Arabidopsis thaliana: one gene and its partners. The protein of the gene in region 2 interacts with the protein of the main gene of each other region in a pairwise test. Each region holds a gene or a part of one and is shown on either strand. Other genes may lie near its edges. The genes, in order: AT1G14340, PEN3 and MLO15.

Region 1 (9,184 bases), on a different chromosome or scaffold from region 2:
CGTTATCATTCGATTAAGGTGCCCTTGATCATCAGATTTTCCTTGTATATATTATATACACTAACCTTTCTATTTTTAGTTTGGCTTTATACTAAGGTTTCTTATCTTTTAGATATGATCACTCTAATTTCTTTTCATTGCTTTATATATATACTGTTTTGTTAAAGTTAGCATATATATGGATTATCCTTCTGAAATTATTCAAAATGATCTACCAGCAGAATTTTTCAGTTTATCTGTTATATGAGGAAACAATGGGAGGGTGTAAGAAAGACATTCTTGCACAATTTAAGGATGCGTGTTAGCCTGACATTTGACAAAACTTCTACTATGCGCCGCCCTTTTTCTATTTATTTTAAAATTAAAAAGACTGACCAAATTCAGAATTAACCACTTTCCTTTTTGAGATAAAGTTAATAGTATATTATAAGGTTTTTGCTTTATATATAGATTCTAAGTTATCCGAAGAATTCAGCTGATATTGGATATTGATCCCATATTGTATTTTGGATTTCTCGTGAATACGCCATTTTAGAGGTATGTATGTGTACGTATTCAATACGCGTACTTGTTTACCATGTAGACATGAACTTTTACAGATGCGCACAGCGCACGGACATGTAAGTGCACATATGTGCCAATCAGCCCATTCTGCCCATGCATGTGAAACAATGTGACATAAAGCTTGGGAACAAAGAGAGAAATATGAATTCTGCAAAATGTTCCTTTTTAATTGAAAGTTGCTGGTGGATAGTGAGCCATCTATCTTTACGGTGTATATTTATGCTTTATATGCAACTTCTATGAACTCACATTGCGAAACCAACTTCTAACACTATATTTTGGAGATAATGTATTCATATTTCGGATGTTTCTCTAAAAATAGTGCATCATTGGAGTGGAGATATAAAAACTATGGGTGTTATTGGTTATATTTGTTAGAGTAAAATAAAATATTACTCTAGATTCGCCTATGATTCACAGAAAAAGGAAAAAAAAAGGTTTGAGCTGAAAGTGTCGAAAACTTTATAATTTTTTCCGCTACAAAACAATTAGAGAAAATGGACAGAAATAATTACGCCAAAATCTATTTTTATTTTACTCCCACATCTTTTTGCTTTCACCATATCACACCCTATATGTGATTAGAAAACGTATAGGATAAACAATGAAAGAAGACAACGGGGTATGATAAACAAAGAATAAAAACAAGAATAATATGGTCAAAATTGGGAAATGGGGAAGACTACATAAGATTTGATGAGAATGTGTCAGAGGCAGAAGCTTTAATAAGACTCCCTATACATACTCATCAACCTTCTCTTACGAAATTCTCTACTAATATTTTTTTAACAAATTTTAGTGGAATCCAATGGAGATTATTAGATTAATATGGTCAAATTTAACAGATAGGACCATATGTAGTTCTTATTAATTAGTCTTTGAACTACTAGAATTAAAGTACTAACAAAGGAAGCTATTGAATATGTAATCCCATTTCTTGTATTTGAATCCGTTATCCCATAAAAAACGTAATCATATTTTCATATGCGAGTATAGAAATTAATGTGGGCACATTATTCAAATTATACATTTTCGTTTGCCCATTTGTATAAACTTGATAGTTTTTACTTTTTAGAGATTAATTTGCTTATGATGAATCTTGGTTATTAGAAAAGTAGAAATAAATAAACGTGTATATAAATTAAAGATAATTGACGCTATTTTGAACTTGAATAATTAATAAATAACTTTGGGCTGTTTTTTTTTTAATCCAAACTTTGGGCTGTTAATCCTCTATATTCTTAAAATGCAGCCATATGAATAAAAAAGAAGAAGATAGTATTAATATCCATGCCATTTCTCTAATCTAAAAGAGGACTACCTGCCGTTTCAACATTAACCAAACATCACGCCGTTTCTTATTGTAGAGCTAAAATCGCGCGCCGTTTAGATACGATCGTCTTAACAATACAGAGATGAAGAAATCAATAACAAATGAAAGAACATGGAAAGGATTCGATTTGTACTGAAGAAATCACAACAAGAAGAATCAATTTTGCCCAGAAATGAGAAATAATCAAAAGCCTTTAGCACCAGATTCTTTCAAAACAGCAGGTTGATCAGCCATAGATAAACAGTACTTAGCAATCTCTCTGAACTTAGGGACACTTCTCAAATCCACTTTAGTTCCATCTTTCAAAGTAATGATGATATCTCCCCATTCTCCGATGAACCTCGGCACAACTTGAACGTCTTTTATCACTTTGTACGAGAAATCGCTCCGATCATCTCCGGTGAGTCCCGAAATAACCGTCACGCGGAGGTTAGTGAACCTGTAACGAAGGTTAAAAGCTCGAGACACTGCAGCTAAGGTTAGTGGGAGCCAAAGGATGGTTAGACCTAGAATGAGATTGGCTAATAGATCTCCGTAATGAGCTCCGCCGTCGAAGTAGACTGTTTCTTTCTTCGCCGGTTTGGAATCGGAAGGAACGGTGGATGCGGATGCGGAGGAGGAAGCTAGGAGCAATCTTTGAATGTGTCTTTGTGGTAGTTTCGTGGAGGGAGACAATGAAGAAGCGGGGAAGGAGAAGGTGGTTGAGAGGAGGAGAGATTTGCGAACGACGGAGGTTACGGCGGTTGACGGCGGAATTGAGGAAGAAGCTGCCATGAGAGAATGATTTGAGTGACTGGAAGATTTGGAGTGAAAAGATGATGACTTCTCTGTTTTTTGGATTTGATTTTTTGGCGCAAATTGTGCCACGTGGCCTAAGCTCTATGGATACAACATCTATCCAAATATTGAATCAATATCAACCATAGAATGATATAAATCAGAAATTATATAAGAAAAAAGATTATGCTACTAATGAAGAGTTAAGATGTAGGTAATGTAACCAAACTCTATATCAGCATCATCATGTGAGAGTATACTTTGATAGATTTCTATATGGTATTCGTTTTGATAAAATTTGGTCTTATCACACTTCATGAGCCAGTTATTCATGATCAGCTTTGCATCATATATATTCACAGACGAATACGGTTCTGAATCGGGCCATTGGTCTATTCACTGCCTTGAGCCGCGGGTACCGAGATCAGATGCGGCTTTAGCAGCTCTCTCTAATGCACCAGACAGCCAAAGAGCTCCGCTGGAGAAGTAACTGCTATTGACAACACTAGTTGCAGCTGCTGCCGCGGTTCTTCCTGTGGCAAAGACAGCTGATTTAGCTGTATCTGAAACATGATACCTTTGGTCAGTCATTCTAACAGCTTCAAGTCCGGTAAAGATTTTGTCAGTAAGACCAATCCTCTGTTCTAGTTGAGATACTCTAGCCACCGCTGCAGCTGATACGCCGTGGGATTCATCAAAGGCTTTAGCTTTGCTTAAAGCGTCTTTGCCTAGCACGAATCCTGTGGCAAGCATTATTTTCACCACTTCTTGAGCTTTTGTCACTGCTTCTCCAGCGTTGAACTCGCTTCGTTGAGCATAATGCTACATGATTGAAGAACGAATAAGCTTTAGAATTGAGACCAAGCATCAAACTTCAACATAAAGACTACTGAACCAGTGACCGTTAGATTTAACTATTTTAACAAAAAAAGAAGACAGAAAGATCAAAGTTGAGAGAAGTGTCAAAAGCGATACATACTTGTGAGTCCGATTCATCTTCAAAACCTCGCGAAGTCGCATTCCAGAAATCGAACTCTTCGTGATGTTGTCCCCAACGAGTTATACAAACACGCTGATCCAATATCGTTGCGCCCTGAAGATATCAAAGAAGTGAGTGATTTCTCAAGAGACATCCAAAAAAGATAGAAAGAGTGAATCAAATCCAAACTAACACTTACAGTGAGTAAAACAGCAGTTTCTTGAGAATAAGAATCCTTAAACATCACATAAGCAGTACAAGCTTGCTCACCCGACCTAGTCTCATTAACAACATTACAAAGTGTACTCTTTTGAATCCAGAATAAGCAAACAAACAACAAACTTGCTAAAAAGTAAAAAGACTCACCTGACAATATCAATATCTTGGATAGTACCAGAGAAAGAGAAGAAATCGATAAGATCATTATGAGTAACAGATGGAGATAACCCAGTAACTTCAACACCATATCCAAATTGATGATCCATCTCTGCTCAATAAGCTAAAAACAAAACAAAAAACCTAAAAATTTCAACATATCCTAAGTCAATAAATTAAATTACTTCCAGTTCGTGATTCAACTTTGGGAACTACATAGAACTTTCCGATTTAGCTTTACATGATTTGGGATTGAAATTTTCAAGCGAAATTTGAGCAAGGACAGATTGCCAAATATGTTCAGACCTAAATCGTTGATTCACTAAGCTCTAGAGAAGAAATTTAAGGAATCGAAGAATAGAAGTTACCTGTTGTAGTTGTTGTTGACCAACGGAGATCACACACAGAGAAGCTTGAAAGAGAGACAAAGGTGATGAATTGATGAAGTTGATGATGTGAGTGGGAAAGAGAAGGACTACCTTTTCAGTGAACGAAAAAGACGCAATTTTAAAAAGCTAAAAACTGCGCCGTTTAGTAACTCAATGTTGGGCCTTTAATGTCTTGAGTTAGCCCATATCGTTAACGGTTCTAAATGTAATAAAAAATTCTACATGAAAGGCCCAATGTTGTTTGATTATTTTCCAGTCTCAAACAACCCATAATCACAAATATTTTTTGAAACATAAATTTTCATCTTATGCTATTTTTTATTTTAAAAATCAGTCTTTACATATTAAAATTAAATCATTAATCATTACTAAGTGTTTGTACAAGAAGCAAAAATTAACAATCTATAGACGATTTTGTTTTTTTTCAGCAACGATTTTAACATTCTAGAACCTTTTTTATACCTTAGTATTGCATGTATATATAAAAATTGGAGTAATTTTAGATATTATCTGTCTAACCGTCCAAAGTCCAAACAGGTAAAAGTTCTCTAAGTGATAACTTTTTAAAATCTCTAAAGAGACAAATTTGACAAGTGTATGTGATATAAATACTTATGTTACTGTTAATACATGAGAGAAATTCAACGGAAAAGAAAGTTAGACCATTTTCATTGGGGGTTTTTTATAAGAGTTTCTCACAATTAAAAAATAAAAATAATAAAAATGAAGGAGAGAGAGTAGAAAGTTTCTTACTTGAGAAACTCTGAGATATTCTCTACAATCCATCATGATAATTCCCTTTTAATTATTGATTCAACTTTTTAATAAAAATATTTTTTTAATCAAAAAATCAAATTATAATATAATATTAATTTTTTTTTGTTTGAGAAACTTTGTGGGTTTTTCATGGATGGAGATGCCCTTAACTAAAAAGGAGAAAAAGAAAAGACGTGTGCCTAACAAATGTTTGATGTAATTGGTAAAAAAACGCAAAGAACATTATTATTATTAATATTCTTTGCATATGAGCCGTTGGCCAAATCAATACTTACGTCTCTCTTTCTCCATCTCTCATTGTCTCTTTCTACTTCTTTCCACGGCCACGTCCGTCTGTCAAAATTTACTAGTTTTTAATTCAGATTGATCTAGTCAGAATCTACTTTTTTTTTATGTGTGTGGTTCATGTTTCTATATTCTGACCCCTGCTGCAGTGAATTGCTATTTATGTATTTTTCATGCAAAACCAAAATTCACTGCTGGAAATGTATATTTTTCATATATGTAAACACCAGATAGTTTAATTTTGTTTTTTCACTTGTCTACCAAAATTAGAACTTTTATTAAACAACAACAATAAGGTGCTTGCGACTATAGCTTTAGAAGTTCAAGTATATGGATTATGGAACTTCTAAAAATTGCGACTATATATAAGCAAAAAACATATATTTAAGAAAAAAATAAATGTTCTAAATTACAGGAAATAGTTGAATATTGGTCCTCCAAATACAATTATCTTCACCATATATGATTATAACAATAAAATATAAAAGGTTGACCATTGACTAATGTATATATTCTATAGCTAGGTTAGACGTTTTGATTCGGATTTTGAATTTCATAGTGAAAGATTTTGATATTGAGTTGACGTCAATTCGGAGATCTACAACAAGACTACAACGTGTTTTATCAAACTCACCTGTTTTTCTTAAATCATAATTTTCTTTGTCTTTAATTGACTCGATTAGTCGATTCAAATATCACATTCCAAGTTGATATCTCCCAATTTTCCTCTATTGTTAATAGAGTTTGTTTATTGTTATTATATTATTTGTATCTAGTAAGCTTTTTTCATATGTGATTCTTAATAAGTGTCTTCTAAGATTAGTCGATGATAATCTTTGTCATTGTTCCACAAATCATAAATTATAAGCGTCAAACCTGAAACAATTTCTTTTGTGTGGTAGAATTCTGGAGTTCTGAACCTTTTTGTTCTACACATTTTTCCATATCCACCGAAAACTAAAACGGCCGAAACCAGAACAAACAATTCTTAGATGTTAATCATGTATTGTTTACTCTTCGTATTTGCCTGATGGTCAGCATTAACCAATACTTCAACTTGCAATTATGACCAAAAGAAACACAAAATGTTTTCATACGATCCCATTAAAGTGAATGTATTTAAGATATTTATCATAATGTGTTGTTTATATACCATATATTATGTTATATTATCCATAGACAGCAAAATTTAGAAGACTAGATATAAGATGTGATAAGTTAGTTACATTCAAATCTATGTAATCTTGAGTTTACGAAGAGCACGTGTTGAAATTCGACGTTGACTTGAATGACAAGGCATTGCCAAAAGAGAAGAAAAGAAGAAGTAAAGGTATTAGGAGCCACCACGTTATCTCCTTACGACGGATAATTCAAAACAATTAGCTGGTATAACAGCTATTCAAATACACACACAAAAAATCTTTTTCGATATTTTTTGTAATGAGAAGAAAATATTGTAATGTGCTGCAACTTGCAACTTGTAATGATCAATTTTCAACCTAATACTTTTGTTGGCAATTTTGTCTTTTTCCTCAGTTGTGAATACAGATGTAGCCTGGGCTTTCACGCGTCGGATAATGGCTCGTAAAGTAATGTAACTCACATGAGAAGGTATATCAACTACTCGAAAATAAATACAAACAAAATTTTGGGGATTCTCTTTAGCAATCTTATACCCATTCTTATGTAACACAATACTCAGATTCTTAATAACACTTTCACATATATAAATTAGGAATGTAGTCATCAATTAAGACACTTAATATAAGAGAGATTAATGTGGAAAGAAAAGGAATGTGAACACACAATACAAACAGATCACGTGGACAGCTCTTAGGACTTCACTTTCAGACACAAGTCACTAATAAGATACGCCAAAAAAAAACAGTCACCTATTCGATAATTTTAGAAGAAAATTCGAAAGCAAAAATAAATAAATTTATATTTAACCTTTCTCCAACCAATATTCATTTTGTTTTTGTGGTCAAAAGTCAAAACCAATATTCATTGAAAACGAAAAGATAATGAAACTTTACCATATGAAAATACAAACAGCTCTGTAGAATATATATATATTTTTATTAATTAAGGGTAACTGCATTTCTGCTGAGATAGTATTAGATAAATATCGTTGAAAGGTAACGGAATTTTAAATTCATAGTTATTGACCTTTGACTCCAAAAATCTTATCAAACTTGGAAACTTTGATAGAACAATACGTCACAAACATTATCGAAATTCAGTAAATACAAAATGGTTATTATTAACACCACAATGTCTCAAAGATTAAATTTGTAATTTATTTATAAAGTAGTACATAAAATATGGATCTTAGACCTCTTCTATACGATGTCAACTTCAACGATTTTTTTTTTTTTTTCATTTTCATTGCACCTTGAATTACTTATGAAAAGGTTTCACGAGCTTGGATAATAGTCAAAATACCGTGTTAACTGTTAACGATACCATACATCTCGCCTTAAGAAGATAAAGCAAAAACTAAATAAAAAGATAGATATAACAAAATAAGAGAAAAAACACAGTTTAGAAAGATAGATATGCAAATGATTTGATTAGATTACTCACAAATTCTAACGACTGATAAAGCTCTTTTCTACCGTCCAAATAATGTTTAAAGATGGCCTTCACACGTGGCAATTAATGAGTGGATTACAGCTGCCAAGATGCAACTCGCAATATAATAATCCTTTAGTTGCACGCTAAAATCTTTCGGCGCGACTTAAGCTTCGATGATTTATCAAAATTCTAATCAATGCGTGAAATATGTAAAGATAACATATGGTACGATCAAGACCTTTATCCATAATAATAATAAGTGTCTTACTAATCTTTTAGTATTTGTTACATTTAGATTTATCTCATGCTTTGAAAAAGGCCATCAGCTAAACGATAAAACACTTGTAGATGAATAAAAATTATGATAAACCAACACGTCCAAGAGAACGGACGAATAATATTTTTTCCGATGAGATAAAAGAGCCCACCCACCATATCAGTTCTGGTCAACGGACAACAAATAAGTAATGCATTAATCTCGGTAATAAACTACTAGTAATAACAATGGTATTAATACACTAATTTCATGATTTAATGTGCAAAGATATACTCCCACGTGCGTCAACACGTGCTCCGTGAACCTCTAGATCACTTTGTCGACAGCTTTCTCGTTTTCCTAATTTATCTGTTCAGCTTATTCAGATAAACATACATCCTCTTCTTTCCAGTACAGTTTTTAACTGAAATGTTATGTTCGAAGAACAGAAAAAGTATAATTATATTCCAATGAAAAAGTACTACTATATATTCCTAAATAATATTTCGTGGAAATGCGTCTAGGTCGTCCTTTATTTGTCCCACTAATTATATTCCATCGATACAATTTCAAACCAAAATTCATATATCTCGTCTAAGATAATTATTGTAGTGTTCAAGTTTTACTAGTCAAAAAAGAAAAAAAAAAGTTTTAGTAGTCTAGTTAAAATCGTTTATATGTTCTTTTTTTTCGTATTAGCAAACAACTAAAATAATTCAATAGAGATAATATTAATATTTTTCTTTGTGGAATATAGGATTTTATAACGTGTAATTGGTCAGATAAATTGTATATTAATCAAAAAAAATATTGAACACGGAAATTAGCCTGTGCTTCACAAAAATCAACTTTACCTTCAAAAATTGTCAATA
Region 2 (11,994 bases):
GCAGGATTCATTTGGGCTGTCACAGAAACACATTGTCTTTTGGCGTCTAAGTTATGAAGTTTATTTTTAAGTCCATAAAATGGTTTACGATGATGATGTAACCTCTTTTTTTTCCATGGATCTATATTTTCAAATTCTATGTTTGTAACCTAAACTGTTTTAATTATCTATAAAATATTTACAATTTAGCGAAAGAAAAAAATGACGATGGAACCTCAGATCAGGTTTAATACAACAATATGACTAAAATTAAATTTCTATTTCCACTACATTTTTATTCGCTCCAATCCATCTCCCTTTCTAACTTAGAGATCTTAATATTTTTTCTTCATATTTGGAGATTTCTTTTTTCAAATTTACACTAAAATTTGAAATCTCCAGTTTGTTGGGAAAAAACTCAACTCCATAACTCCATATTGAAAATAAAAAATGTTTATGAAGAAATGGGAGAGATGTTCTAAGCAAATTTTAAATAATTCCTCTTAAAATAATGGTAAAGATGTTACTACATTGAAGTCAAAGATGTCACAATTTAAGCATACAATATAGTTAAAATTATATATAAAAAAACCCCTAAGAATAAAATATAATCCAGTTAATTATATATTTTGAGAATATAACCCTAAACTCTGTTTCTTCTTCCCCAAACAGTTTATGCCAAATTCACTCCCAGCTAATAAAATAAAATAGAAAAACTCGTTGAGCCGCCATTGTTTCCGTACTATGGAGCTTAAACTAGCCACCGCCGAGAAACAAGTTCGTCTCTTTCTTTCTTTCTTTCTTTCTTTAATTTCTCAGGGCAAAATTCCCACTTTTGTGGAGTCGAATTAGCTTCTCTGTAACTAACCATTCCGTTAAAATAGGTGCTTGACGAGTTGGTGAAGCTATTGCAGAGTCGAGATTTGCGTGGCGAAAATGGAAACTGGAAGGAATTTTTACATGTTTACGACAAAAATGCTGATTCACCAAGTGATCCTTCGAGGCGTTCTCATGAAGATTTGGTTCAGTTTCTGACAACTTTTAAGAAGAAAGAAGATTTGCAAGTAAGTGAAACTGAAGAAATACACAATGTGATTGTAATCTTTGGCCACTAAAGTTTTGTTCTTTTTTGCTGCTAAGCTTCTGAAATGTCACGCCAATCATCTTCTGATTGAAAATTTGAAGCAAGAATCCCAAGATGAAGACACTCCTGAGCAGGTGGGAGATGCTTTTGTTATATCTCGTTCTTTGATAGGAATATGTTTGCAGTGAGGTTTAAGATGTTGTTGTTTGGCAATACAGATGCTAGTTAGATTGACAGTTGAGCATCCGAGTTACTCGTTAGACTATTCTTTCAAGCCATACTCAGAGGTTTTGTTTCCTTCTCCTAAACAATGAGTTCTTGTTACGTGTTTTATGCGGTTGTTTAAGAGTTGTTGAATTGCTTAAGCAGGACTGGTTTGTATCCGATGTTGGAATGAAGATGAAAAAGGTGATGGAATCAACTAACATGGTAGCTGTTGATTGTGAGATGGTTCTTTGTGAAGATGGGACTGAGGGTTTAGTTAGAGTTGGTGTTGTAGACCGTGATTTAAAGGTATAGCTTAGAGAGAATCTTTATGCTTTAGTGATTCGTCTTTTCGCAATGGACCTGCTTTCTTGACGAGGGTTATCAAATGTTGAATGGCTTTAGGTGATTCTTGACGAGTTTGTGAAACCGAACAAACCTGTTGTTGACTATAGGACAGACATTACAGGGATTACTGCTGAAGATATCGAAAATGCTAGTCTCTCTGTGGTAGATATACAGGTACCATGTAGAGTCTTTCTATTGGTTTTATCTTCACAGCAGAAACGTATAGTTGTTATGTTGTTAACTTTGTGAAAAATGTGCAGGAAACTTTGCAGCCCTTTCTTTCTACGGGTACGATTTTGGTTGGTCACAGTTTAAACAGAGATTTGGAAGGTAAGCATAAAGTTTCCAGTAGAGGATTTTGTAATTGTAAGTTTTTCGCTAACAAGTTTATGGTTATTTTCATATTTTGATGCCAGTGTTAAAGATAGATCATCCTAAAGTAATCGATACCGCACTTGTATTCAAGTATCCGAATACACGAAAGCTCAGAAGACCTTCACTTAACAACCTTTGCAAGGTAAGTCTATTACGTGTTTCTCTACTCTTGAGATGAACATCACAAAAAGATAACATTTTCAATACTTTTTTTCATTTGTTGAAATGGTTTTCCCAGTCTATTTTGGGTTACGAAGTCCGAAAGACCGGTGTTCCTCATGATTGTGTACATGACGCATCAGCTGCGATGAAACTTGCACTTGCTGTTGTAGAGAAAAGAGTTGACACAACAATCAAACCATCTAAAGAGGTTTGAAATTACCAAACATGCAGTTTTATCATAAATTCCAACAATAACAAATGTCTGCATTTTTACCATAGATGTTGGAGGTTGAGAAAGCAAAACTCTTTCTACATAAAATCCCTAACAATGTGCCATCTGAAGAGCTTGAGCAAGTTCTTTCTGGAAAGTTTACACTTGATGTGAAGGTTGAGAAATCAAAACCATGTACTTTCTCTAAGTCTCTCGAACATAGAACCTTTCTCTGACCTCAGCTATTTTTCTTTTGGCAGCAAGCAAAAACACAGGGACGTTACTATTGTGCATTTGCTCTTTTCCATAGTTCAGAAGACGCAGATCAAGCATTTGAACACATTGATGGAATCGAAATGACGGTATAATTTTAGTATCTCTGCTTTTGGATCCGCAACTATCTTGATCGATAGTGAAATAAGTTTGTGTGTTATGTTTTTTTTTTTAGGATTCATTGGGTTTGCCACAAAAAGTGGTCATCATTAAGCTGAGTTCAGGATCAAGAGCTAGTATATATGTCCGTAAAATGGTTCAAGATGAATGATGCAACCTAGGATTAGATTAACTATTCAATGAATTGTTTTTTCAGATATTTGAACAATCAATGGCAAAATTCAATGACTAGTTTTTTTTTTTATAATTTGCAATTGTTTCTTTTATAATGGGAAACAGAGACAATATACTTGTGTGTGTATGATAAGTGTGATAAAATCTGAGTCTTCATGATCAGTCGCTTTCATAGTCTTCTTCCTCATCTCCAAAGGAGAAGACCGATGCATCTGCAGCAATAGCTTTGATATCACTAACTGCTAATGAGTTGTTTGGTATTGGATTATAATGACCCGAGGACGATGAACTTGTGACACTTCTGTTTGCGGAAGGGTCATCTCTCTTTGGTGGCTCATTGATCTGATGAGGTTTACTAGTTGTGTGCATTGAGCTTGCGGTTTTCTCGTTAGTTGAATAAGACTGAGAGTTTCCTTCCTCTTCCCCATCACTGTCAGAGAATACATCGTCGTCTTTCTCATTAGACTTAAGTTTGCTGGAATCAGCACTGGAGCTGCTTTGAGATTGTTGTTGGGTGGAATCAGATTTGGACTTTGTTGGTTGTGAATTGTCGGGTTCTATCATTACGATCTCGACATGGAAACCCGGTGCAGGCAGTTTTCTCTGCAAAAACCGCCAGGGATGAAGCAACCAGGTTTGTTTCTTAGATCTTATAAGGCTATGAAAATTTCTTTTACCTTGTCAAAGCCATCAAAGTCACTGCCTTTCAGCATTGTTCTGTTATCAGTCAGTGTAGTATTTAGCCAACTGCGTGCAGAAAACAGTAAAAGTTAGTGAATTTGTCGATTTGGAAGATGTCTGTGAAGGAAGAAGAGAGTTTACCAGTAGAAATCTCCATCGCTATCTTGAAAGTGGATTTTGAAGTCGCCGGCTAATTCTGTTAGACCAGCTTCACCAGGTATTGCAAAGACAACCACTCCCTTTTTGGGTGCCTTTATCCAAAAATCTTCAGGCTATAACCCACAAACACAAGTTTATACGTCAAGACGAGTTGCGGTTATAACACCAGATGAAAGAGAGAGAGAGAGAGAAGAACCAAGGAGAACAATGCCTACCCCCAAATCCTTGGTTTTCTGATGTTTCTTTGTTGAGAAAAGTATATCTGTTCAATAGAAGAAAATGAGCATTTTTCAAACGTATGCGAATATTCAAAAGATGAGAAGAAACTAGCTTTGTACCAGTGTGGTTGGAGATCGTAATGGCAGGTCTAATCCAGTAAGGGCAGTTGATTAGGCGAAATCCTCTGAGCATGCATCTACATAAATGTTTATTCTCTGGTTAGGGATATATGAATATCAACCACAAATCGTACTACCTGATTGGTCAGATATGTCTAAAGCATACCTTCGCTCGGGTGGAACTTTCCCGTCAAATTGGTTTTGAACACGTTCGTAGTACTTGACATATCGCTGAAGGAAACAGGAAAGCTTGTTTAATAGGATGAGGGAGAATCGAATAAGCACATTAAAAGATTGGTGTGAGCTCAGAACTTACAATCTGACTTGGGAGAACAAGAGCTTTCCCATCAAGACATCTCTTTTGGTTATAGTAATCAATAGCCTCTTCAGCTGTAGGAAAGAACTGCAATGGAGTTACCAGTAAGATCTGTCACAAGAGTCTTACAGAGGAGGAATGCGTGCATCAGCCAAGACTTTGTTTCATTTAAGAAGTGTCACCTTGAGATATAGAAGAAGACAGCAAATCATTAATCCGGTTCTTGCCATTCCAGCTTTACAATGAACTACCACTACATTTTGGATATCTTCCTTCAGCCATGTGTATGCACTTTGACAAAACGATGGTATCAATTGGATAGGAGGACAATTATGATCATCAAATGGGAAAGATGCAACCTGAAGAAAAGGAAATCAGACAAGCGATGAAGCAAACACTGTAAGAGGTCTATAAACACTAGCTTTAAAAACAATGACAACCACAGAAACTGCCTGCAAGATATATGGTCTGAGATATCAAGTGCTAGAGTTTGTATATACCTTCCCCTCAAATCTTGAAGCATCGTACAATCTCTCTGAACAAAGGTTGTAGACCTTATATTTATCCTGCATATCGGGGGCAAGGTTTAGAGTTCTGGTATGTACCAATATGATCAAACATAAACCAAGTAACCACTACATGTCTGGGCTGCAGTGTCTTATCAAATCCAACTGGTGTGAATCTTATGAGAATTAGTGAGTTGTCAAAAACTCTTTAAGAGGCTTCCAGTCAGTGCCAATGGTTACCTTATGATGAGTTTCAAAAAACTTTATCACCTCTTCCATGTGATTACGATATAGTCCCTGAATATGACATTTGTCAATGAGAAACTCAAGACTAAGAGAAGAAAAGAACTGGCTGGGGAACTTATATTTCAAACCAGACCAAGCTATTTACCTCGAAAAATCCGAAAAGACCAGAGCTTATGTCACCAGCTGGGAACCCCATTGCGATTATATTCTCAGTTATATATGTCATGTCCAAATCGAATTCCCCCTCCTGAAGATTGCACCAGGTGCCATGTAAAGCAGAGATGTAAGTGGTACTGATCAGGGCATACATATATACTATAATCTAATCGATGCATTACACTAGACAGCAGGGAAAGCTCATAAAAATAAACAACTGCTAGTTTTGGCCCATTCACTACAATAGGGTAGTGTGCTGCAACAAGCTGTTGTGACTATAAGGTGCCTCAGTTTCAAAGAATCTAACAAAAGCAGAAAGACAGCATTACCATACCTGGTATCTTCTTTTGTTCTGAGAGACAATGTGGCGTGCTTTCACCTGCATTGCTTTAACGGCACCACGAGATGAATCAACCACAGCTTTTGTGAGGGACTCAAAAGCACCACCAACTTGTGTGTTTGATGATCTAGAATCACCAACCTCCTCAGACCCTTTCGTTGGCAAATGCAGACCAAGTTCAGAGGTGAATCTTGTGAAAGCTGACATCCCAGAATCTGTACGATTTGGATCTTGCTGCTGGAATTTAAAACTTTTGGCCCAAGAAGAAAGACCAGAAGAAGAAAATATAGACGGCGGTGATTCGCGTGGGGAGGAACCTGGTGGGCATGGAACTATATCATCTGTTTTACTTAAAGGTTCAGAGCCGGTAGAACTAGCAGGCATTTGAGTATCATCAACCTTTGCAACAGAAGCTTCTGTACTAATAGAGTCTTCATGAGCTTCTCTTTCAGCGCTCACAGGATCTTGTACAACGCCCACAGTATTTTCAGAAGGTTCAGGAATCAATACATCTTTCTCAGATACTACAGCTGGAGACTTCGATGAAGAGTTAGCAGGATCAGTTTCCATTTTAGCAATCCAACGCTAGCTCAGACAACGATGAGCCTTACTTTACGAGAAAACGAAAACCTAAAAAAAAAAAAAGTCAATTTCACGTTTGAGTATTGAGTCCAGTTTCTCATTTAATCAAACACTTAGCAGAATATACAGAAACGACTCCAAATTCCCACATTATACATAAGCAATATCCAGCTAAAGGTTTTGGCTAAATTCGCTTCTATAATCATCTGAAAATAGCACTGAATACGCAAAATTGCTTCGGAGGATAAGGAATCTAAGACCGTACTAGTGCACATTGCTATAATCCAAAGGTCGCATTCATTTCCACATCTCTCTCAACGCCAAATTCAATGGAACTAGATCTCTCAAATCAGAAAATCAAGTGCATCATCTAGCAGAGGCAGATCAAAAATGAAACAAGGCTTCCAAATTCGACAAAGCATCGGCCGCGAAAGAAAAAGAAAAAAAACGAGAGAGTAGACATTGATTACCGGAGAATGCAGGACGATAAGCTTCGAGTTTTTTTCCGTAGCGAAAAGAGATTCAATGGAGGAGGAAGAAGATTGGAGCTGATTCTGATTCAGAGCAGCAGCGTACGAAATTTCCGATGAACGTGCGGAGATTAACGATCAATTCCCGTTTTATCATCCCCCGCTCTTGCCGGTCAGAATTTTGTGTTTCGTTCATTGGGCCTATATGGTCACATTATGTTGAATCCTAGTTGGTCTGGGCCTTATAGATATCGAAAAGGCCCAGTTTTGGTAATCCAGTGGGCGTAAGTGCGTGACGTGTCAATGTAATCACAAACGATCTACATATCCTACTATATAATTTGGGAAATACATTTTAAATGTAATCTTAATTTTTGTAAGTAATTACATAGGGATGCCATTAGAAATAAAATTTTAAAGAGTAAATTAATTTATGTATTTAAGGATTAAAAAGTCAAATACTAATTTAATTAATTAAATTAATTAAAAAACGAAATACATTATTAATTTTCAAAAATAATAGCCAATCAAAATCAACATATAAGATTTGATATCTAAATTTTAATTAATTTAATTTAATTTCAATATGGATTAAATCTTTAATTTATTATTTTAATAAAATTTACAAGTTTTAATATATATTACTTTTAAAAATAAATCGTCCCGCGGTATACCACAAGTTAAAATCTAGTACATATGTATAATATAACACACAAAAAAATGCTTTGAAAAACAAGTTATAAGGTTAAGAAGGTGGCTTATAATAAGCGTAAACAGCGTAAAAACTTTGAGAGAAAGTGAGGACTAGTAGAATAACCGCAGCACAGAAAGAAACAATTGCCCATGGATTATTGAAGTACTTATGTTTCAACGTAGCCCTCCAAGCATTCCACTTATGATCGTAGTAACGATTAACCTCAATCGATAACCTAGATAAATAGCTATCTTCGGTGTCGAATACAACTTCTTGACATAAACGGTTGAACAAATCCGCGACTTCAGAATCGCTCCCTAGCCAATGTTCGATGATACCACAGTAGTGTAAGTAGCTAACATCTTCGTGAGAATCTATTAGATTGTCCATGAAGATTATGTAGGATGTTATATCATTGCTCGAATCGATATGACACTGCTCAAAAGCTATAAGATTCAGAAAAAGAGATTTGGTACCTACAAAAAAACATACGAGGATGGCTTTACTTATTATAAACATTTAGTTGTTTTGTTGAGAAAATGTATTTGTTTCATTATCTAAACTTTTTGCCAATCTGAAAACACATACTCTTTTCCATTGCTTAGATCATTCTGAATTAGTCAATTGATGACATTTCTTATATTCCAAAGTAGCATTTTTATGCAACATACCACATCAATACATCATGATTCCTACTAATATATTCTTTGTCAATCCATATAAACCAATACAAACGAGAAAATATCAATTTATATGGATTTGATGAATTAAAAAGGTGATGGATAAGAAAAAAAAACTGTAACATTTTACTCAAACAAAAGAAAAATAAATTGTAAACATATGGGGCATGTGTTAAAAAGAAGAAAAATGTGAAAAACGTGAACGTACCGTCATGGATAAGTAGCCTCGGTATTTCTAGATAACCGTTTTTGAATTGCATATCCCAAAACCGGTCGGTTTTCCTTCTTCTGAATTTTATACCAGCCTCTTTTAGTTCCGTCACACAATGTATCAATTGTTGCCGGCGCTTGTCCGCCACACGCGTGTTTCGAGACCATCTCTTTCTTGTTAACCTCGGCTCCGGTTTAGGACTAGACCGTAACAAACTACGACGGAAAACATCTAGACAATGCAGTTCACCCATATCAGCGAATGGGTCAAAGGATTTATCTCTTGCCAGTGAGTTCTCGAGTTTTGACTGGCCAGATTTAGTCAACGGCTCGTCCGTTGGCATTAGTGGATCAAAGAACCGAATTGCTAATTGTGCCACCAAACCGGTTTGGTTCCGTGTACCAAGCTGTAACTCTAATAACCGGTTTAGAACAAATAAAGGAAGTTGATTTTCAAGCATTACCATGTCACGTTGAATCGAATGCATCGATCCTCTCATCGCGAAAACTGGATCGTTACGTGCATATCTACACAAAACATTATTGTGACCGGTTTAACAATTATTTGAGAGAACCGGAAATAACCAGATATTGAAAAAATCAGGCTTACCCGAGTTCAGTGAATCCTTCAACGGCTCCTCTAAAGAGCTCAAGCACAAAACAACCATCAAGAACTAGCATTTCGATAAATTCGTTACTACTCAAACTTAAGGGACCTTCGTAACAAGCTCGAGCCTTTTCCTCTAGCTCTCTCATGGCGTCGATATACATTTTAATGCCTTGGTTCGTACGTTTCAAGACTCTATTGACAGCACGCCATTTGTGACGGTCCATAGACCGGAGCCGTTTCTTACCATGATGGTACGGACCAAGCGAGACTGTCTGAGGGAAATACGATTTGTTGTCGTTTTCTTGAAGGTAATATGGAACTCTGTAGATACAGAGCTTACCCCAGAGTGTTGTGTCATCATCTCTATGTGCTTGTTCGAGCTTGTCTGTGATCGAGATCACCCAATCGTCTCGTGAATCTTTTGGACTCTCTTTGATTACGTAGATAGCGGGATCGGATTGAGTTTGCTGGTTGTTATGAATGTTTTGATCTTGATCGGATCTGGTGATTTCGGGTAAACCGGGGAGGTTTTGATCTTGATTAACCAATACGGATTCTTGGTTTTGTGTTTCGAGTTTTTCGCGGATCTTAAGGGTGAGTAAGTACCAGCTCAACATGTCTTTGTAGAAGACAGCCACCATTTTTTTTGTTGCTTGAAGCTTTTTTAAGAAAATGAGGGAGTGAGAGAGAAGGAAGTATATGTGAATGATTTGAAGATATAATTGGTTACTTATTGTACTTATGGACCCAACTGATCTGTAATGACAACAACCATAATTAGATATTTATAAACACACACACACACATATTAATATCTTTGAAGAAAAAAGTAACAACTAAAAGTTTATATATCTTACCTAATTATTTTAACTACTAAAATATACAAATTAATTTGGAATCGTGCGGCTTAAAAGGGTAACATAGAATAGAAAATATGCATTTGTGTTCTATAATTTACCATATATCCGACCATTATCCATAGATAATAGAATTTTGATATACCCTTTCGTTTTGGTTTGAGTACGAATCCTTAACGCATCAAAGAAGGGTAAGGTCATTGCGCAACCATACTAGAAACGCTCGTATGGGGAATATGAGAGTCGTTGGACAAGATAAGATTATTTGTCTTGTCGAATTTGGGCAATTTTAAACGATAAAAGCACAAAATAAAATCTCTTCTTTAGTGGTTTTTTTCTTCTCCCTTTTTTCCTTTTTGCTCTTTGTGTCACATCTTGAAATTCACATTTCATCGTTGTTATTGATATTCTATGGGGTATTTGGTGCATTATGGTATTTTTCTTATATCTCGAGCAACAATTATTAATAAGAAAAATAGAAAATAAAAATATAGTGAGAGCATAACGGAACATGTACACTACACAGCTAGTGTGTGGAACATGGCACGACCTCACCATTTCTCGTATGGATGATGATTGCTCAACAAACTTTGAATCTATATTGGTTGACGGGTCACAGTTTTTTTTGTGCTTATTTTCATTAGCCAAACTCTAGGGTGTGGCCGAAGACTAATCTATGATGTAAAAGAGAATAGTAGAAAAGGTTTTCACATTAATTTTATCAACTGTAAGAAAAAGGTAAAAAAATGTTTCCTTCTTATTCCATGGAAAACCCAAAACACAAAAGTGAAATGAGAAGAAACTTTTTCTTTAGGTTAGAAATGTGGAAAATATTTCCTCTAGTGATCACTTCCCATTTTTTACTGTTTTATTCCTCTTGTTTTTCTTTCTTTGATTGCACCCAATCAAACCTTTATATGATTTTATTTAAATTACTGTAGTACATTCGACAAAAGTGAAATTGACTATCTAGACTCTTTAGTCTTAATACATCGAGTGTTATGGAGATTTTTCGTCATCTTGGAAAGTGAGTCAAACTTTGGAATATCCGTCAATAGACAATGGTCATTCTCATTAATGTTTTGGAACATTGTTGTAGTCTTAATTTCCGATAACATATTCAAATCTGAACATACCACATCATTGGCTGGAGACGTACTGGTGAATCAAAAGAAATTTTAAAGAGGTGTACAACTTAATATAACTATTTGGTAACCATATAGTGCTAAACTAGTGTAGAAATGCAATTACAAGTTTAAGCATCGATGGTAAACTAGTTTGGTTGTGACGACGGCAAAAATGTCTCTTGGGACGATATCGTTTTATCGACGTAATCTATATTTGTTCTGACCTGTCTCAGTGTCTCACCTCCTATGAAGCTAACTGTTAATATATATATGGCATCGTCCCCCCTAGACCTACCGAGTCACAGCGATACTTTCATGCTACCACAGACACCTTGTCATGATCAGATTCAAGACATGTGAACAATCAAAAATAAGATTAAATAAAAATGCTGGAAAATTTTAATTTTAGTTTCTGATTTTATTTTTGCAATACAATAGAAAATAAAATAAACAAAAATGCTCGAAAAAAAGTTACAAACATTCCAAGTTTAATGAAGGAAACTACTGAATAATAATGAAAATCAAGAAGGTGGGTTAAAATAAGGATAAGCAGTAAAGAAACTCTGAAATAACGTGAGAACTAGCAGGACAAGAGCAGCAAAAAAAGAGAAGTATGCCCAAGGATTATTGAAGTACTTGTGTTTTAAGATCGCCTTCAGAACATTCCACTTTCGGCTATAATTCCGATCAACTTTATTCGACAATTGTGACAAATAACTATTTTGGGGGTCGAAAGCCACTTCTTGACATAACCGGTTGAACAAATCCGCAACTTCATAATCATTCCCTAACCAATGTTCGATGATACCACAATAATGCAAATACCTAACATCTTCCGACGAATCTATTAGATTATCCATAAAGATTATGTACGATGTTATATCGTTGCTCGAGTCAATATGACATTGTTCGAAGGCTATAAGATTCGAGAAGAGAGATTTGGTACCTGCAAGAAACACGAGAAACCATGGTATATGTGTAAGCTCAAGGAGTTAAACGATTGTATAAAAAAGTGTATTTTTTGTAGCTATTGCTTAAATCATTCTGAAGTAGTCAATAACGAATAATTGATGACAATTCATTTACGTTGGC
Region 3 (10,970 bases), on a different chromosome or scaffold from region 2:
TTCATACGGATGTGACCAAGTACTTGTCTTTTAAAGCTGTTGATGGAAGCTATGTTTTTGTCCAAGGCAAGGTACATTGATTACTCATTTTCATTTTTATCTTGTGCCTCATTCTCTTTTTTTTCCATAGATTTCAAGTCTGTTTGTGCATCTTTTTTTCTCCCATGTTTGATCTTGGTCAAAAGCTTTTCACTGATCATTCTAGCTTTGCAGCTTAAGTAATTTTTTTCTAGTTATATTAACTGTTTATATGCTACAGGTCCAAAAAGTGCCAGCAACTCCCATGGAGGCCCTCAAATCTCCTCTTATGGGTATTTTTGAGAAACGTCGAGCTGGAAAGTTTTTCAGCTATGTTCAAGAATACGACGAGAAGGACCCAAAAACACATGATGGAATGGATTTGAGGAGAGTTACAACTAAGGATTTGATTGCGTAAGCTGATGTTCTCTTGTCTTTTGCATTATGGTGTTGTCAATATTTGTTTTAGACTATCTGCTGCTAACTATCAATTTAACACTTTGGCAGGAAATTCGGTCTTAAAGAAGATACTATTGACTTTATTGGTCATGCAGTGGCACTTCACTGTAATGACAATCATCTCCATCAACCTGCCTATGATACTGTAATGAGAATGAAGGTGAATTGCTCTCATGGGACTTTAAAGTGTGGATCCCCTTGTTTTCGAAGTCTTCTTTTTTGCTCTCAGTATTTCATGTTTGACTCTGTTGCTTTAAATGTTTTATCAGCTCTACGCAGAGTCCCTTGCACGTTTTCAAGGAGGTTCACCATATATCTATCCTCTCTATGGGTTGGGAGAATTGCCTCAGGTTTTTTTCTTCTTTTGTACATTGCTTTATTTGGTTGGTGCAACTATTCTGGCGTTTTGGACTATAGTTTCTAAATTCTCTCTTATCTTCCTTGGCTCAGGCATTTGCACGACTTAGTGCTGTCTATGGTGGGACGTATATGTTGAACAAACCTGAGTGCAAGGTGCGTCTTTGACTTCCTTATCTTTGTGGCTTTTTTGTTTCGGTCGTTTCTGCAACTTTTTCTGTCGTTAACTATATGGATGCTAGATCTGATAACCTAATATTGCTTTTATAACAGGTAGAGTTTGACGAGGAGGGTAAGGTTTCTGGTGTTACATCTGAGGGAGAGACTGCCAAATGCAAGAAAGTTGTCTGCGATCCTTCTTACCTAACCAACAAGGTAATGGCTGTGACCGGATATCCTACAGTAACATTAGCTTTGTTGCATGCATATATCTCTCATCTCTGTTTTATGGTCTGTTGTTATGAATGTGAGCCTTTTAGGCAATTTTAACAATGTGAGCCTGTATGTTAACATTATTTTAAAATGTTTTATAATCCAATTCAAACAGGTCAGGAAGATTGGCAGGGTTGCTCGGGCGATTGCCATTATGAGCCACCCTATTCCAAACACCAATGATTCTCAGTCGGTGCAAGTCATTCTACCCCAAAAACAATTGGGCCGCAAATCAGACATGTGAGTTCTCTTATTCATCCTTTGGTTTCACTTATGTAAATGTGTTTGAATAATGTGTTAGCTAATCTTTGTCTGAATTATTCTCTTGAGCTTGCTGAGATACCTTCCTTGCTACACACTCTTCTCAACTATATTATTTCTTGATTACAACACATACACTCTATAAAACTTGGCAGTGTGTAACATTGAGTCGATTGATATATTTGTTTCTCGGCTCATGATTACATCTTTATTGTAACTGACAGGTATGTCTTCTGTTGTTCATATTCACACAACGTTGCTCCCAAGGGAAAGTTCATAGCATTTGTGTCAACAGACGCTGAAACTGATAACCCTCAAACCGAGCTCCAGCCTGGAATCGACCTTCTTGGTCCTGTTGATGAGCTGTTCTTCGACATCTATGATAGATATGAGCCTGTCAACGAACCCACTTTGGACAACTGCTTCATATCAACGGTTAGTTTCTCTACCCCTTTTTTAGTGAGCATCTTAAAGTTGGCTGGTTTCTAATAACCTTTTTTGTTCATGTCCTGAACAGAGTTATGATGCTACAACACACTTTGACACAACTGTTGTTGATGTGTTGAACATGTATAAATTGATCACCGGAAAGGTAATGTTCTAGAATCACAAATATATCGGTTTTTATTAATTGACGGCGACATATTCTGTAATTGGGGAGTGATCATTGTTTTGTGTTGCAGGAACTGGATCTAAGTGTGGATCTTAACGCAGCTAGTGCTGCAGAGGAGGAATGATGGAAAATATTGCAAGCTCTGTCTCTCTCTGTTAGTCACCAAATGATGTAACCGGTTCTCTTTCTCCCTCTTCTTAAAAGTTGTCTCACCAAATGTTCTGTTAAAATACTAAATCAAACCGATCTCATCATGCGTACCTATTCCCGGTTATCGCAGTCTGTTTTTTTCTTCTCAAAAAACTAAAATGTTGGATTTCGTGGTTTTTGTTTGGAGTGTCTAATATATCATCATGCTCTTCCGTTTGAACAATTATCGTCTCAATCGTTTCGTAGAGAGTCGTTGCTTAACAAGTTGAATAGTAAATGCATAGCAAAACTAAACTAAGCATATTAAATGACTGGTAATACACACAAACCATTATTTTGTTCTTCAAACCGACATAGATTGTTTTTCTTCACATGTCAGTTTAAAATCATATAAACGAACACAAAATTGAGCATTATAAACGGCTCTGTAGAAATCACATATCTTGTTTGATCAAACTGGCAGACAGATTCAGCATCTTTGCTGTGTTTATTTGTTACAACGCCTTTCAATCAGTTATATATACCAAACAAAGTCGAACAAGTTCAAAAAATCAAAAATCACAACAACAAAAAAAATGTCAGAACAAGTTTTTGTTTGTTAATCATGGTGAGCAATCTCTGATTTTTCCTTGGGGTTCTGATTTTGTTGAGAGGAGCCTTTTCCTAGCAAGGAGTTCAACTGAATAGACGGTCTTGGACTAGTAGCATCATGACTGGTACCTACTTGTGTTGCGCCTTTCTTCACTCCCCTTTTAGCCATTTTTGCCCATCCAACAAGATGTTCCTGTGTCTGCTCGTTGAATATTGCACCTTTGAATGAACTTCCCATCTTTTCACCAAAAAATTAGAAGGTTTGGTTTTGAGTTTGTGTCTTGGTCTAGTTTGATATAAGAACACAAGAAAATTGACTAAGAGATGTAGAATCTGTACCTGAGTTACGAGTGCATAGAGCGGTAAGGTACTGTAACTGCAGAGAAGCTGAATTATTACCCTGCAAAAATATTTCACATTTCAAGATCAAGAAGCTCATAACAAGATCGATATTAAGTAGCTTTGGCTATTATTACCCGATGACGAGTCTTGGAATTACGAACTTGACATGATCCATGATGCATGAATCCCAACCAAATTGAAACTGTTGTTACAATTGCATGAGTTTTCACTTTTCTCTGTACGTATCTTGATATCTTCTAGATTATTGGTTTAGATCGATTAATGGTAAAGAGTACTTACAAGGATAAAGAAGAAGTAGGCGATTTCGAAGGAGTTTTGGAAAAGAATGAAATGGATCAAGAAGAGAACTAGCCGGGGACTTTGAAACCAGAACAAATCATCTGATGGTCGGACAACCAAATCTCCTTCCACAGCAATGTGTTTCTCTGCAACTTCATGAGCCAAATCTGTGATGATATGCTCTAACTTCGTCCCCACGGCAAGTAAAAGCTGAGGAGAAAACCGCGTAAAAAGAGTTGATTTAGATAGGTTTGAAGCATAGACATGCTTTGAGAAGGTTTTCAGGGACTTACGATCAAAGGAATAAAAGCTAGCCAGAAGTAAACATGCCATGCTGCAAGAAATATCGAGTCGATGATCATTCAACCGAAAAAAGAAAGAAGAGAAGAAAACTTTGTATTGGATCAAAGTTAAAAGATGTCATCTCAGTATCTCACCAACAATGTTTAGAAGCAAGAAGAGAACCACAAATACCCAAAGGTACCAACTGCAATTTGATATATACATTAGAATAGAATCAAGAACACTATGTTGCATTGGTTTTTGGAAAAACTATAAATTATTTACCTGATACCGACGACTTTCTTGAAATCAGAATTAAGGGCACGCATTAAATACTTATGGAAATTGAATTTTGGGTTGGTCTTGCAATGAGTCTTATAAAGATCAAATAGAAAAAGTTGTTTTTAGACATTATAGTAGAGATAAACACAAAGCAAAGGACGAATCAAAAATCCAAGATATATACCGTGACAAAGCCTAGCCTCATTGTGATGTAATCTGATTCATTGACTGACGCAAGAAACTGTTTCATAAACGATTGCTGCAAAGGAAAAGAACACATATCACTCAAAAACTTGCATATACACATACAAACATGTCTTTAATTACAAGTAAGATAAGTTGTGAGAAAACAAAAACACTCACCACCCATCCCAAGGAAGCATCAGCTTTTCCAACCCCAAGAAATCGTGACCTGATGAATTCGTGTTCTTGAACGTGTGTGAATTTCTTCTGGATCACTGTGTAGATATGTGTATATATAAGACTTGTTAACGTTACAAATGACTATAATTAATGAAAAGTTCTCAAGATCCTGAAACAAGATTTTGTACTATACTTTGGTCTGTGTCGAAGTCCTTCTCTAAAACCTTATCCTCCCATTTTTTCCATTGCTTTATCTATGCCATAACATTTTGTTATAATCATTAGACACAATAAAAAACTTATTCTGCGAATAGAAGTTGTCCGGTTTTAGAGTTTAGGATTATCACTAGCTTATATTTGTTCGTGATATCTCGTAACTAATAAAGATTAAAAAAAAGATTTATTGTTAAGTAAGGTGTAATTAAGAAAATACCTTCATGGTACCAAAAACAATGGTTAAGAGGCAGAAAATAATGTGGGCAACAGCTAATACGAAGATGAATATATGAAGCTCGTGCAGAGCTGATAATGACATTATTGGTACTTTTCCCTGAATTTAAAACAAACAAAAAGATTCAAAAAAGATATCATATTATAGACAAATTTATGTTAATTCTACGCACGTCTTCAAATAAAACGTGTAAGTCAAAAAAAGATTTGCAAAGATAAGAATACCTTTAGGGAGCAGTAGTCACCGGCGGGGGCATCTCCGGCGAGGAGATGACGGCCGGTGAAGCTGAACTGGAAATGGGAGGAGTCTTTAAGGGACTTCTCAGCCCCTGCAGGTTTCGTACAAGGGAGAAACTTTTCACTTAACTCCTTTGATATGCAAATCTTTGCGATTTTAGACTGGCCGACCGATAATAGCAACGATATGAACCCTACTAGCATGAGTTCTGTTTCCAAATTTTAAGAATCCTATTAGAACAAATGATATCATCACATGATGGATCTTTTTTTTTATCAACAAAAACATGAAGTCACCTTCTTTGATCTTTTGTAATGCCCCAAAAAGCTGCTTCTGATCGTTGTTCTTAAAGTGCTATATTCCTCATGCATAGATCCATAATAGTCATTTAGTCTACAACGTCTAAATGAATTATGCATACATATAAAATAAACACAAGGAGCCAATATGTAATATATAACCTTTCCGGCACGGTGAATGAGACGCTCGACGGCAAAAGAGATAGAGACAATGACGGAGCAGACGAGAGCAACCACCCAAGTTGGTGTGTACTCTAAGGTCGTTCCTCCTCCCGCCATTTTTTTGCTCCGGTGATTCGTGATTTTCTTGATCCCCTTCTTGTTTGGTGCAATTATATAATGAATGCCTAATGAGTTTAATCCAAAATGATGACCAGGTAATTGTTTTAAACCGGCGATCTTATTCTTTAGAACGTGTCTTTAAATATTAAAATTTGTAGGTTATATTCATTTTCATTTCTTTACTAGAAAGTGTAGGTTGTATTCATGCACATTATATAATGTGTAATGTATGCGGTGTCAGTGTGTGTTTGTCCCCTCTATGTTTTGTAATTTTCTTTATTTAGAGTTTTGGATAGTTACAATGTACAACCTAAATAGAAATTACTAATGTTATAGAGCCACCAAGAGTTGTTAATTGAGGTCTAATTAGACTCTTTAAGTCCCCATTTTTTTCCTTTGTCAAAGGTCTAAACCCAATATTTTTTCTTTTTCCTTTAACAAGATAAAATTTTGACTTGATATTGAATTAATCAAATGTAACTGATCAAACGTTTTATTTTAACGAATTAACCGCTACAATATTTGATCGGTCAATCTATAAAAACAAAATTTGGACAATTTCGCACAACCGATATAATCTCTTTAAAAAAATGGAGAACAGCTTGTACTCTTGAAGTCAACGATTCCGGTTAAGAGCATTCTATCTTTGATACAGCTCGACCGGAATTATTTAATCAACCGGTCAAAACCAGATATTTCTAATGGATTGGTGGGCTTCGAAGGAACAATCTAACAGCCAATAAAAATTCAAGATCAATTTAAAAGCCCGCCATTGGAAAATAACATGATTAGTCATAAAAAGCCTATCTCGGATAAAAGATCACAAGTCTCTGATAACTTGAACAAAAAAAAAAAAACTCGGTCCCAAAATCTTTGAAATTTGCAAAGATAAAGAAGGAAGCTTTCATCAATTCATTCTCCTGACAAGCTCGTTGATGAAATTCTCCCTGTTTCCAGCATCACCACCTTCGACGTAGTGGTTTCTCTTCTTCTTAAGGCCACCGAGTGGTGCCTTCAATTGGAATGGCCACAGGAAGTTGTTGGCTTCCTTGAAGTGAGGTCCAACAGTCATGATCTCGTGGATGAGATCCTCAACGCAGATGATCCCATGCTTTCCGAGAGCCTGATCCACAATGGAGTTGTCAGTAAGTGCTATCCTCTGGTGGTTCAGCTTTCCATAACCTCTTTTGTAGATCAGTTCCTTAACGCTCTTCAAGTTTGGGTATCTGCACCAGATATATCATTCGGTTTAGAGCAGCATATAGTTTAGTTTACATAATCCTATTGAAAGAGAGAGAATCAGATTGCATACCCGTAAGTCACGTATGGTTCAACTCGGCGCAGCATGTTTACTGTTGCCTTGTTCACCTTAAGAAACACACCATTGAAGATCTGCACAAATGTATACGAAAGTAAACTTCTTGACAACGCAATAGTCTTCTACTCTCTTTTAAAAATGATGAACAGGCAACTATCACATATTAGTTTGAACATATAACAAATATTAATCAATAATCATATGTTAGGCTAATATAGCTGGATGAAAATAACAAACTGTGAAACCTACCTGTCTCAAACGCAGGAGCTGCAGAATCTTCTTGGTTTTTGGGTCAATGGCATTGATACTGCAAATGACAAACAATCACGTAAATAAAAAACAGAATCTATATGCAACAACTTATGTAACACACAAATAATAGGCACATACCCACGGATACGAATGATAAAGAGCAACTTAGCCTCAGGGTCAACGTAGAAACCTCCTTTCAACTTAGCCTCCCGCTTCAATCGGATCAACTCGTTATCCTAAACAAGCATGCAAATAATATATCATGATTCATTACAACAACCATGAACAGAACAGTCATCTTAGTCAGCAAAGATGAACAAAAGAGTGTTGCTTTATTACCTTCTCAGCGTATTCTTTGGCATACTGCTCAGCTCTCTTGAAGATAAGCTTGCGGGCCTCAACACTCTTCTTCTTAGCAGCTACAGCTTCATCTTTCTTGGCCAATGCCCATTCCTCTTGCCTCTTGATCTTCTTTAGCACAGACTCTGGAACCACTACCTTGGATTCAGCCATTTCTCCTACATACATAGCATGCCATAAACAAACCAAAAATAAGCTATACTAATCAAATAAAAAAGACACCTTTGAGAAATTGAACAGATTGTTAATCACAGAGAAGCAAGGCAGGAACATCAACGACAATGTTTAAAACCAAACAGCAAAATGAAAAGGAGCAATTATAGAAGATCGGAAAACTCAATGCAACGATTCTAAATCTAAAATCAAAGTGAATTTCTCTACAATAGAACTAGAACAACTGGGTTTATCGATCTCACAAACATCAGAACAAACAAATTATAATGAATCAAAAGAAAACTTACGATTAAAAACTAAACTAAACGAAGAAGATCAAAGAGAGAAGCTTACTTGAGATGAAGAGGAAATCTCGTCTGAGAGAGAGGAAGAGATAGTGTGCGGCGTAGAAGGAGGACAAAACAAACAAAGTCGAAACTGGGTTTAGGGTTTATTTCGTAACCCTAATTTTTTAGTCAGCAGTCATTTTTCCAAAGTGGGCCTATTTATTTAACTTAAATTGGGCTTGGTTTTAAATGACATATACATACTCAGGCCTTGTCCATCTACATCTACATGTCATCGATTTTGCCCTTCTGAATACTTTCTTCCACCAATACTGTTTTTCTTTTCATAAACCAACAAATTAAATCTATACTCTTCCAAATCTTCTAGATCGAATATAAGTATTGATATGTGACATTGTGATCATTCAAAACAATAGAGTTTTAAAGCTTCGTATGTCTTATTGTCTTAGACTAACATCAAAAGTTAGGTTTATATTTAGTGCTATTACTCTAGAGATACAAAAAAAAATGTCAATATGGTCTTCTAGAAGAAAAGAAAGAGAAAAACTTTAGTAACCGTAAAGAAGAAGACTAAAGCCAAGAGGATAAGTGCTTGCCAGTTTCGGCCCACTTGTTTCCTCCCCCATAAAGATGACAAACTCCCCAAAAGGGAAAACAAATATCAATGCCTATCTTCTAGAACCCTTATCTCTATTTTTCTTCTTTTCATTTAGTAATAGTTGTATTATATCTTTGGTTTCATTTTCAGGAATAATTAATTAGAAACCAATCCACTTCATCGTAGTCGTAAATCAATCAACCTTCGTTGAAAAGAAAAAAAAAACAACAACTTCAGTTTCGTGATGATTTCAAATTCGTCTTGCGATAGTCGTGAAATTCATCAATAGAATCTGTTAACAGTACTACATCATCCATTGATCCATAATCCATTTAAGGGAAATAAAACAAAACTAAATGACATTATAGTTGCTTTTTTCTTGTCGAGCAAAAAGTTTCAAAAGATGTATCCATTGTTTCTTTGACTAACGCGACCTATTGATAGCCAATATTACCATTTAGGAATGAAAATGAATCGAAAGTACTCGTTTATATGCGAAACTACTACTACTATTCAAAGAAACTCTACGTTACTTTTTCTTGACACACGACAATAATTGGTGATGAATAAAGCTAGAAAAGCTGATAGAGAGAAAATACATAAGTAGAGAGTAATCAAAGAAAGGACAATTGACGAAACAAGAACAGACAATGTGGGGAAAATGGGATAGAGTGTAATGGACCAGCCCCCTATTAATGTTCGACCCCATTCTTATTATTTTCCTTCTTATCCCCGACTTTCATTTTTCTTCTTGTCTATCTATGTTCATATCGTGCGCTAACACCCAAATTAATCTTCTTCCCTTGAAACATGTTTTAAATAACGGCACAAATAGTAAGCGTAGATTCATAAATAACCCCAAAGTAAAACAACAGAAAGCATCATTAATTATCCGGTGGAGACGAGATGACTTGTGTGAGGCTGGAAGTCCGCGAGACATACCTTTACGTCGGTGCATCGCAGAATAGACGTGTCAACGTTTTAATATAATATGTTGAATAATCGAAGAGTAAGACCCAAGGATAGTTAATGCCAATGTATATCCATGAGAACTTCTTCTAGAAGACTATAATAAAGTAGAAACCTTTATAAAGTTATAATCAATCATAATATTATTGATGAATCTTATATTCAAACGAAACTGCCCTCGCAATTTTCTACGTAAAATAATACGTATTACAAAATTAAAAACACATGATGATATCTTACAACTTATAACAACTAAGCACAAATTTTTTGGCAAAACATAAAGAATCTATACATATGGACTATTCGTGAAAGAATTTGTTTGATAGTGCGTGCACATGCCAATATGAAATGAAAATGTCCATCATACATATTAATATACCTGTTTTAAATTGTAGTAAATTAGGGAGAAACAGTTCACGAGATGTTTACTTATCGGTTGACGGTTGCGTCAGTGAATACGACTCATTCCTTATTACTCCATATTATTTGTCTTTGCATAGCTTCTAGAAGCTTTTTGTTATTTCAAATAAAAAGTGATGGTAAAGACTAAAAAGCTCACTACTGGTCTTCGTGAACTTTATTATCAAGATGTCATAGATTCGGTTTCAATTGACACTGAAATGGAATAGTAATCTAGATATCTAGTTGATAAACTAGTTTAAAAAGTTATTAGTTCAAACTGTTTTTAAACTATAGACGCTATACAGTGGTAAAAGCGTTAAACAAAAAGTGCGGCGCAGTATACTGTCAATTTAATTTGTGATTATAATATACAATATTGTTACCTAACTTCACTTAACCAAGTAACCACTGACCTAACTTCAACTATTTGCCTTTACAATTTACATCATGAAACAACATGGACATTTCTTGAATTTTTGGTTGATATTCAAATAATCAAATTCTTATGGAGTATATGATTTACTCCACTGTTAGTTGTTCATTTTGTCCTTATGAAAGTCTTCTAGAAGCTTTCTACTTTTCCTGTTTTATGAAAAGATTGTTTTAACAAAAGCACCGTCTTCATGAACTAAACCAGTTGTTATAGATTCCATTTCAAAGTTTTATTCCTTATTAAGGAAATCGCATCAAAGTAACCCATGTGTTGACTCTTGCCTGTTTGGTGAGATTGAAAGGGAATGATTAAGAAATAAATTTTTAGATACGTTTGCGTTTTGCAACATACACGAATCTTGATTTTTTTCATACGCTGCTAAATCAAGTTTATAGGGGTTTTTAAAAATTTAAACGAACCGTCGCGTTATTTCAACCGCAAGCAAACTCATCCTCCTC

What was found.
Region 1: the proteins of PEN3 (region 2) and AT1G14340 interact in a two-hybrid assay, tested with the Arabidopsis thaliana proteins (one large-scale study listed by BioGRID).
Region 3: the proteins of PEN3 (region 2) and MLO15 interact in a protein complementation assay, tested with the Arabidopsis thaliana proteins (one large-scale study listed by BioGRID).

What each region holds. Positions count from the first base shown.
Region 1 is NC_003070.9:4,892,663-4,901,846, reverse strand, and holds AT1G14340 (RNA-binding (RRM/RBD/RNP motifs) family protein), read right to left. Parts: upstream 4,502-9,184; 5' UTR 4,397-4,501; intron 4,153-4,396; 5' UTR 4,139-4,152; coding exon 4,020-4,138; intron 3,929-4,019; coding exon 3,853-3,928; intron 3,768-3,852; coding exon 3,654-3,767; intron 3,497-3,653; coding exon 3,071-3,496; 3' UTR 2,812-3,070; downstream 1-2,811. Other genes in the region: AT1G14345 (NAD(P)-linked oxidoreductase superfamily protein), read right to left, coding at 2,081-2,671.
Region 2 is NC_003074.8:18,577,688-18,589,681, forward strand, and holds PEN3 (PTEN 3), read right to left. Parts: upstream 7,127-11,994; 5' UTR 6,725-7,126; intron 6,303-6,724; 5' UTR 6,243-6,302; coding exon 5,667-6,242; intron 5,424-5,666; coding exon 5,322-5,423; intron 5,228-5,321; coding exon 5,171-5,227; intron 4,991-5,170; coding exon 4,925-4,990; intron 4,784-4,924; coding exon 4,607-4,783; intron 4,512-4,606; coding exon 4,425-4,511; intron 4,340-4,424; coding exon 4,275-4,339; intron 4,186-4,274; coding exon 4,109-4,185; intron 4,033-4,108; coding exon 3,986-4,032; intron 3,884-3,985; coding exon 3,753-3,883; intron 3,678-3,752; coding exon 3,608-3,677; intron 3,534-3,607; coding exon 3,090-3,533; 3' UTR 2,922-3,089; downstream 1-2,921. Other genes in the region: SDN1 (small RNA degrading nuclease 1), read left to right, coding at 724-756, 864-1,043, 1,120-1,197, 1,282-1,350, 1,433-1,576, 1,673-1,789, 1,876-1,945, 2,032-2,132 and 4 more; AT3G50120 (transmembrane protein, putative (DUF247)), read right to left, coding at 7,470-7,894, 8,307-8,836, 8,919-9,559; AT3G50123 (uncharacterized protein), read left to right, coding at 10,287-10,430; AT3G50130 (transmembrane protein, putative (DUF247)), read right to left, coding at 11,424-11,848. UniProt on the Arabidopsis thaliana protein: Protein tyrosine phosphatase that also exhibits a weak lipid phosphatase activity towards PtdIns(3)P.
Region 3 is NC_003071.7:18,242,601-18,253,570, forward strand, and holds MLO15 (Seven transmembrane MLO family protein), read right to left. Parts: upstream 5,860-10,970; 5' UTR 5,717-5,859; coding exon 5,600-5,716; intron 5,493-5,599; coding exon 5,435-5,492; intron 5,347-5,434; coding exon 5,126-5,346; intron 5,001-5,125; coding exon 4,884-5,000; intron 4,705-4,883; coding exon 4,644-4,704; coding exon of another isoform or gene 4,639-4,643; intron 4,546-4,638; coding exon 4,451-4,545; intron 4,347-4,450; coding exon 4,272-4,346; intron 4,180-4,271; coding exon 4,091-4,179; intron 4,011-4,090; coding exon 3,961-4,010; intron 3,858-3,960; coding exon 3,817-3,857; intron 3,734-3,816; coding exon 3,524-3,733; intron 3,426-3,523; coding exon 3,358-3,425; intron 3,282-3,357; coding exon 3,221-3,281; intron 3,120-3,220; coding exon 2,889-3,119; 3' UTR 2,757-2,888; downstream 1-2,756. Other genes in the region: GDI1 (guanosine nucleotide diphosphate dissociation inhibitor 1), read left to right, coding at 1-71, 260-432, 526-637, 747-827, 928-990, 1,108-1,209, 1,382-1,506, 1,752-1,962 and 2 more; AT2G44120 (Ribosomal protein L30/L7 family protein), read right to left, coding at 6,627-6,945, 7,032-7,111, 7,287-7,344, 7,428-7,525, 7,629-7,817.